Linked DNA regions of Xenopus tropicalis. Each later gene encodes a partner of the first gene's protein in a complex. Links are inferred from orthologs where the notes say so. Each region holds a gene or a part of one and is shown in the gene's direction. Other genes may lie near its edges.

What was found.
Region 2: tfdp2 (region 1) and e2f6 share a complex: the UniProt entries of both Homo sapiens proteins name them as parts of the DRTF1/E2F transcription factor complex. The link is inferred for Xenopus tropicalis from reciprocal best matches to the Homo sapiens genes TFDP2 and E2F6.

Annotation. Positions count from the first base shown.
Region 1 is NC_030681.2:129,560,903-129,565,479, reverse strand, and holds the start of tfdp2 (transcription factor Dp-2), read left to right. Parts: upstream 1-1,371; 5' UTR 1,372-1,580; intron 1,581-4,577. UniProt on the Homo sapiens protein: Can stimulate E2F-dependent transcription.
Region 2 is NC_030681.2:138,935,185-138,939,968, reverse strand, and holds the start of e2f6 (transcription factor E2F6), read left to right. Parts: upstream 1-1,854; 5' UTR 1,855-1,992; coding exon 1,993-2,076; intron 2,077-3,671; coding exon 3,672-3,717; intron 3,718-4,784. UniProt on the Homo sapiens protein: Inhibitor of E2F-dependent transcription. Binds DNA cooperatively with DP proteins through the E2 recognition site, 5'-TTTC[CG]CGC-3'. Has a preference for the 5'-TTTCCCGC-3' E2F recognition site.

The DNA of each region.
Region 1 (4,577 bases):
TATGACTAGCTTAACCCTTTTCCTGCCATTCAAAAAATCTTTGTGCCTGGGAAACACAATTACATTTTAACTCTTTAACCTCCTTGTATAAAGGTTGATTTTTTGATTTTTAAAGTGAGGTCAGGAGCTGTAATGTAAAAAAGTATTCCCCTGATTGTATCATAATGTAAGCATGGCTACTAACCAGAGATCAAGTCCCATTGGCATTAATATCTTGTGGGAAACCTTAACCTACAGTTCTCCTAAATATTTTTCAGTGAGGAGTGATTAATTAGCCTATTTCTCTGCAACTTTAATTTTAAATGTGTCATTATCATGTAGAAGAGGCAAGGTGTCCACTCAAGCCTGATAAAATTTGCACAAGGCAGACTGGTCCCATAGAGAAACATTGAAATAAACCATGGCAATATCCTCTGCCTCAGGCATGACAAGAGAATGTTAATCTGCTCATTGACACTCTTAATCTTTTATAGGTCATGTAGAGCTAATCCCCACCTGAAAGGCACAACCCTGAATCACCCCTTGGGGTTTTAAGCAATTCTGAAAAAAACGTTGGTGAAAAATACATTTCAAGACTATTACATTACATCTGTCATGAACTGAAGGCAAAGTAACCAATTATATACATGTTACTTTATGCACATTATTTTGTGTACCCTTAGTTATTCAGCAACAGGTGGGTAGGTTGATAGGCCAGCAGTTCATTTGTACATAGGCCTACCATAGTTGATCTGCCTCTATCAAGGCCCAAGCATTACCCTTTTGGATATTTAATGGTCTCCCTCCATTCTTTACATTCTAGTAGGTGATTTCACACAAAGCATAGAGATTTTTGGGGCAATCAAAGCACCATTTAGGTGTCTGCGGTCCAATGAGTCACATATGATCTTACTGTGTGATCTTCTGTCCTTAGTATGGTGTGTGTCTGTTCAAAATCAATAAACATGGTGCTTCCAATAAGCAAGGAAGTAATGATCTGCCCATACATAAAGCTATATGGCCATACAGTGCTGCTTATTAATGAAACAGAAAGTCATCTTTATTTTTCCTTCTAAAGTTTGCTTCTGAAATTATCTGAAATAAGCCAGCATCCCTCCTTGCCCAGTACATTGCCTGGATAATCACAATCATTAATGCTCAATTTATCCCACTAGGACAGCAGAAAACCCAGAGATTTATTTTCCTCCTGCTGAAAGGCACAGCCTATCAAATCACACTAACCGTAAACATTGTCTATCAGCCTCGCCAGTTTCCCTAAACTACAATTCCCAGCATGCCGGGGTAACCTTCTAAAGATTGTGGCTAATAAACTGCGCCGGGACTTCTGCCGTTTAAAAGTCCATGACGTAAGTGAAGCAGCCGATGCCTGAGAATTCCTAGCAACCTTCAGCCTGCCCAGGAGATAACATGCCAATTGTTTTGATTGTGCCTGGCTAGGTCTGATCGCGGATGTGCGCGGTGGATGCGCTCGACGCTCGGTTGCTCATGCCTGCCTCATTTTCAAGTTTTCAGGCAATGGTAACAAAGAGTGGCTCTAGTAGTGAGCTGGGAATAGTGAGCCAGTCGTGTCCTGTGTTGAGGTAGGTCCCTTGCATAAGGGTCACCCCTTCTATCCTCCCACTTACCTGATCCCCCCTAAGACTGGGATATATGCTGATCCCCAGGCTCTCATGGTCCCACACAATGCACTAATTTCCTGCAGCATGCTCTGCCTGGGGGGGAGGGTAGTCCCTGCTGACTTATTGGATAATATTCCTCATATTTACTTGCTTTTGCACTCTGATTTCTGGGCTTGTACTCAGGACTGCTTGGAGCTGTGGGGAGATGTAGCAGGATGACAGATTTTCATATACACCATTGTTTTAACTCTTACAACTAAGTAACCCTTCCAAGTGCATCAGGCTATATTGTATTTATATATGAATTATACCTATATATATATATGTGTGTGTTTGCCATGCTTAGTCACTGTTTGATTCCATGGTGGGTTTAGCAATAATAGAAATATTAAAAAATAACTTGCTCCTATTTATATGTACAATATATGCCCCACTTGAAGTTCCTATGCATAGACACTGAGCACAATGTTTGGGGGAAAATCCTTGAATTTTGTGCTGCTGCAAGTTATTGTAGTTATACAGTGCAGGTATATGCAATATGGGGCCCACCAGCTGTTGGGGAAACTAAAGCCCCTGCATTCCATGGAAGTCAGAGGATATTAGGGGATGCAGGGTTTTGTAGTCACACATCAGCATATTGGGAATTTCTGATCAATGGAGCATGCAACAATTTTCATGGGTAATCTTTGCTTTTCTGATGGAGTTTGTTATTGTGATGGGCCTGTGGTTAGAATGCTGAGTTCTGATTATTAGTGCGTAGTAGTGTATATAGTGTGTAGTAGTGCACATGTGCAGTTGGAGTGAACAAGTGGAGCCTTGTGTCTGTTCTGGAAACTCAAGCATCCCTGCTCTCTTGCTAATTGTACTTTCCTGTGCAGCAGGATAAGGGTGGGTGTGAGTGAGGGAGAATGTGCACTGCTGTTCTCTGGGACCTTTAATGCACAATGTATACAAACAGAAGGGGATTCTGGTTATTTTTTAGCTTTTTAAGGAACCTTGATTTATCATAGTCCTCCATTTTGTGTCACACCATTTTGGTGTGAAACTTTTACCATGGTCAGAGAAGCCATTTAGTTTTAACTGGTAGTAAAAGTGTGTGTGTGTGTGTGTGTGTGGGGGGGGGGGGGGGGGGGGGGGGGGGTTAGGGCTCCCATTTGTTCTATAGAGCCAGCTTCCTGGGTCAGACAGCCTCCTGGGGCCACATGCTGCTCAGTGGGACAGTCACTATGAAAAGCCCTAAGTGTCAGCTGTATGCTAATGAAGGCGAGAGCATTGTCTGCTGCTGCTGCTGCTGCTGCAGGGAGGAGACATTCCTCTGGGCTGCCTGATCAGTCCCACTCATATCAGTGACACATGCTGGCTGCTCCCAGTGCTGATTGGGTAAGGCCTGGCCTACATGTGCAGCCTGGGAGAGGAAAGTGCAGCACAGAGTACAATGCTGCAGTAGGAAGTTTGGTTATGGTAGTAACAATTAAGGCTAAGCACAGGACTGATTGGGCTGCATGACCCACGTGGGAAATGGATGATGCACAGTATTGTGTAGGGGTCACTGTAGAAAGATGCATATGGCACAAATGTACATTAGGCATATCTAAGCTGTGGCCCTCCTATTGTTGCACTAAAACCCCCACAACACCAGCTACATTGGTAGGATGCCAGGAATTGCTGTTAATAACAGCTAGAAGGCTGCAGATTGGAAATGCTTTTGCTTTAGGTTTGTTCCACAATATATTATGTTGGGAAGGGGGCAGAGTGAAAGGTCCCTCAAGCCTTACCTTTAAAGGTCGTACTGAGTCACATTTAGGATATTTCCTATTTCGGAGTCAGTATCCTTTATACTTGAAGTGTTCATTGTATTTTGGAAATACTGGCAATCTTGACTTTATATTTCAGCTTGTCCTATGTTTGTTTGATGGCTTGTGGCGTGAGAACATTTCTAGAGTTGCTCCTACATTATTGGCTCCAAGCATTTCCTAATTCCCTGTATTATTTACACCAATTAGGAGGCCCTTATTGAATCAGATTTGGTTTATTTATACACGAGTTGGAAGTAAGGATGTCTAATACGCTATGGGAATCTTAATATTTTGTACTCTTTGGCAGTATTTAAGAATGTTTATGCTTTGTTAGGCCCCAAGCAATGCTGATAATATATTGCATGGTGAAAGGGGGCAACGTTTCTGTCTTGGCCCCTTTCTTTGCTTTCTGTTCTTTTTTTCATATCTGTTCTGTACAGCAGTATCCCTTGGCTTTGCATGTGGGATTGTGTGTAATTCTTTGTGGTAGGGGGATTCTGGCAGTTCAGCCCCAGCTAAATGTCTGAGTTTTGGTGGGCCAGGGGCCAATCTGTCCACAAAGTTACCCTTTAAAACGTACACTCTTTTAGTTAGAACTAGGAGCTAGTTCTTTGCTTACCTGCCAGATCTACCAGTGTAGATACTCCAGTACTATATGCTATGGATTCTTTTTCATATAAGAGCAATGTATTTTAACTGTAAAGTTCTTAAGGTTTAAGCTACAGGAGTTGTAACTAAAATGTTCCCAAGCTTTCTCTTTATCTGGTATAGAGAAGGAGCACAAAGTGCAGAGCTTTGGTGCATCTTGGGCCATATGGCCTATAGAAGACATGAAGTTAGTGCAAAGGCATGCCCTACATTTCTATGCAAGTGGCAAAGACTCATAATACAGTTTTTAGCATTTTCTCACCTGGCTGCATGGGTGGGGGACAAAAACAAAATCACCCCCATTTACTTAGCATGGTAATCATCTGAATGTGCCTGTGCCCTTCTATGACAGTGCTTATTGTCATAGGTGGCATCCTCAGGCTGCCTTCCTGTATATTGTGGGTCCATTTATAGAATCACACAAAGGGCTGCCCTAAGACATCCAGGGAGTATGTTTAGCCCACCAGGGTCAGGATTTTCTTCTCTCTTTGTGTGGCCTTTAGATTCATTTTTG
Region 2 (4,784 bases), about 9.4 Mb from region 1:
ACGGATCTGATGCCAACCTCAACCTTTTTTCCCCTTTAATGCAAAACAAAATCTGGCTGAGCTTCCTTACTACATCTAAGGAGCAGAATTTTCAAGATATGAGATGAGATTTTACCACAGAAAAACTCCTTTCCTATGGGAGTTTTAGAAGCGTTTTTATCAAATGGTGAACTCTAAAAAGTGTATTTATTAGTTGGTGAAAGTTAAAGTCTCATAGGAATGAATATAAAGTGGGTGATTTTTTTCTGTGGTAAACTCTAATTCCATTTTGATAAATCTACCCCTAAGTCTTTTACTCCATAGTATTCCTAGGTACTTTCTTACCATTGTTCACCTTAGGCTCATTTAGACTATAAGAAACTTTTGCATCAGGGCTGCATTTCCAGACTGAGATTCAACAGGCCCTGGAATGTCAAGTACAGGAAGGGCCCACAATATATTTGCTACAATCCACAGATTGCGGTCTGGGCCTGCAGGACTGTCAACTGTCAGCCATCACATATGGAGAGCAGACATCCTCCATTGCCCGTAAATTCAAGAGACATCGTTTTTTCCCTGCCAACACTTGGAGCATCTCTGAGCAATGTTTCCAGACTGCAGAACAAGGAAACAAAATTGTAAAGGTAAAGCTGAAAAGTTGAGGGGAGAGCAAACAAAAAAAAGACATGTTGGGGAAGAAGGGAGGATCAGTCCTGGTAATCTCCCAACCCTCAAAGTGCAACAATATCTGGCCCTTGCTCTCTAAAGCTGGCCATACTCGCACCGATACTATTGTACGAAACCTCGTTTCGTACGATATTCGGTGCGTGTATGGCATGTAGGCAAGTCGACTGATATCGCAGGAAGCTGCTGATATCGGTCAACTCGCCGATCGGCCAGGTTAGAAAATTTTGATAGGGTGCCATAGAAGGCGCCTGACCAAAATCTGCCGTCAGGGCTGAATCGGCAGAAGGAGGTAGAAATCCTATTGTTTCTACCTCCTTATCTGCTGTTTCAGCCCTGAACGGTGTGTGGCGGATCTGACGATGTTTCGTGCGACCATGTGGCCACCTTTAAGCTGCCCATTACAGGCTGATTAAATGTACACACTGCAGCCCACCAAACCAGACACCTTGAACGACCAATATCTGGCTTATGGAGTTCGACAACAGGGTTGTGTCTTTTTAAACAAACCCTAAACATACATGTATATAGAACAGCCCTGTCTGGATTCTATTGACCTACATGGGTTTGTGTCACTTGTACACATTGTCTCAGGACAATCATTTTATAGCTCGCAGTTAAAACCACTCACTGGGGATATTTAGCAAAGAGAAGCGAGTAAAGAAAAAGGACTGGAAGGTACTGAAATGCTTCTGTGCAATTAGTCTTCTTTTAAAAATCAGCAACACAGCTATGAACATAAACAGGCCCAGACTACTCCCCCCAGCAGCCCAATAAATAGTAACATGGCACCTTACAGCAGCCCCTCTGGCATTTGCCAGAACCCACAGATTGCCAGTCTGGGCCCAAGCAAAGACACGCTGGTTAATCCTGGGCAGAACAACACCGACCCAGTAGCCCACAGGTACCACTGATTAGTTTTTATGCAGTTACAGCAAAAGCAGCAACCTGATTGGCTGCCCTGGATTACTGTGCAAGTTTCCCCAGAGTTGCTACATAAGCCTCACAGCTCCGTCCCCCATAATATCAGTTAGCAGCTAAGGAGCAGCTATTAAGTAGCAGGACTGAGCAGTTTCATTCCCCCTTAGACTTCAGTCACCGCATGAAGCAACACCAGGCGCCAACCCGAGCTCGCTACGCCTTAAACCCTCGCCCACAAGTGCTGATAGGCTGACTCGCCATGACGACATGATTGCGCGACGCAGAACCCTCGCCCACAAGCGCTGATAGGCTGACTCGCCGTGACGACATGATTGCGCGCCGCAGAGCATGTCAGGTGACTGTCCCACGGTTCTGCGTGTGTGAGAATTCCCGCGGGTTCCTGGTAACATGTCTTCCCCGTCGCCGGAGCTTTTCAGCCCACTTCCCGCGGCCACAACGAGTGACTTGGTTGAAGCAGAGGAAGTAGTGAAGGTGAGAGCCGTGCACCTTCCCTCGCTGGTGTGTTCTGTGTTCCCAGCATGCACAGCGGTGTTATACAGCCGCAGGGATATAATCATTTATTAACTTGTGATGTCACTTGTGTATGTTATACATCTGTTGTGTTTCATTTAGCCTTAGCTACACAGTCTGCTGCTTCGCTCTCACAGTTGGCAGGGCTGCTGCTATACATGCCCCAGTGGGCCCTTAGGGGAGGCTCCTGTTACCATTGTCACCTACCTATAGTATATTCCCCAGGGATGTACCATTGTCACCTACCTATAGTATATTCCCCAGGGATGTACCATTGTCACCTACCTATAGTATATTCCCCAGGGATGTACCATTGTCACCTACCTATAGTATATTCCCCAGGGATGTACCATTGTCACCTACCTATAGTATATTCCCCAGGGATGTACCATTGTCACCTACCTATAGTATATTCCCCAGGGATGTACCATTGTCACCTACCTATAGTATATTCCCCAGGGATGTACCATTGTCACCTACCTATAGTATATTCCCCAGGGATGTACCATTGTCACCTACCTATAGTATATTCCCCAGGGATGTACCATTGTCACCTACCTATAGTATATTCCCCAGGGATGTACCATTGTCACCTACCTATAGTATATTCCCCAGGGATGTACCATTGTCACCTACCTATAGTATATTCCCCAGGGATGTACCATTGTCACCTACCTATAGTATATTCCCCAGGGATGTACCATTGTCACCTACCTATAGTATATTCCCCAGGAATGTACCATTGTCACCTACCTATAGTATATTCCCCAGGGATGTACCATTGTCACCTACCTATAGTATATTCCCCAGGGATGTACCATTGTCACCTACCTATAGTATATTCCCCAGGGATGTACATCCTGCAGTCCTATAGCTCTTGTTCAGCTGTTTTGCCTTTACTCATAGTTTGTTAGAGTCGTTCTGAGTGTTGTAATTCAGCAAGAACCTAATGGTTGCAGCTAAAATTACTTGTAATTCCCTTTACCTGCTATTAAAACACACACTTAGAGAATGTGAAGTCCATTTTTTTCTTCCATGCATTTAACCTGTACGTTAACTTTTAGCATGTTGAATGGCATATTCTCAGCAACATTTCATTTCATTTGGTCTTCTTTTTTTTTTTTTTTATAGAGTTATTTTCTTTCCCCTTCTGCTCTCAGCTCTCAAATGGGGGTCACTGACCCCTGCAGCTGAAAATCATTTGCTTTCAGTCCCCCTGTGATTCATATTTAAGCCACTGACTGGTTGCTATGGTAAAACTACCCTAGCAACTAGATAGTGGTTGAAATTCCAAGCTAGAAAGCTGCTAAACATATATTCAAAACACTCAAACACTTTACCCAGGATCACACAGTTCTAATAAATCAAGAGGTGCTGTTTTTTTCGGGTGTTAGATGTTTGCTAGGACTGTTCATGCAATCGTGAACAATGTGGTATTTTGCCTTGTGTGTAGTGATACAGTGAAACCAGGAATTACCCTTGCCTTACTATAATGCACAGCAAGCAGTGCAGGATACAGGCCCAAAGAAAGCTTAATTCTTTGTGTTCTTTTGCAGATGAAAACAGAAATTCAGCATGAAGAAATTAAGATACCGACTAAAAGTATGTTCATTTTACTCTTTTCCCACAACAATATGTTCCACCGGGATATCTGTGGCTTTTGCATTATTGCTTCTAAATATATAATACGCAAGAGAATATCACAAGAGTATCCTGTAAATGATATCCTTATAAACAGTGCTTAGTGATGTCATCAGTTATAAATGGTTCTTAGTGATGTAACTCACTGAAACTTGTGTATTATAATAAGCGATTACATTTTTCTAGAATCTTTCTTTGCGGGCTGTTCACATTTTTATAATCACTGCAAACGTGCTTATTTTGGCAGCTGTGACACATAGACAGTCCATCTTTTGCTAACAAGTGACGGTCTCTCCTCTCATTTGTCCTAATAGCAGCTCAGTAAGCCTGGGTGCCACCTCTAAAGGTTTGATATTTAATGGAGACCTAAAGAAAGGCTCTTTATAGCAATAATGCTCCCAGTCTTTAAGGTTATGTACAGGAGCTCTCCATCTTGTATTTTTTTTTTTTTTTTTTTAGAAGTGTCGCTGCACATGCTCAGTAAGGTCTGGGCAGCTGTTGAAAAGCTAAGCTTAGGGGCTGTAGCAAATTATCAAGCAGAAAATGAGGCTGGCCGGTTATAGAAGCTGATGCTACAGGGCTGATTCATTGTTGTTGCCGTGTAATCTGAATCTAAATCAATAACTAATCAGCTTTGTATTGTGACATTTATAAGTTGCCCAACTTTGGAGGCACAGATCTTCCCTGCTAAAGGGCTGTTGTTGCCTTTGGCTAGATAGAGAGAAACACAAGGAAAATAATAATCACATCTAACTTAGGTTATTTGAATGTTTCCTTTGGAACTCTGTCTGGTCAGGCACATTCTCAGTAATAAGCAGAGACATTGAAAAATGCATTTAATTAGTTAACTGTAAATAATGAATCCAATGAGCTGATACTTGCTGAACTTGGGTACCTTCCACTGGTTTTTCTATGTTGGTATCTCAGTGGGTTAAAAAGGTTTGGAAGCAAATTCATTGTTTTACTTCTCAACCTAAAGGTGCCCATACACGTTAAGATCCGCTCGCTTGGCGAGGTCGCCAAGGAGG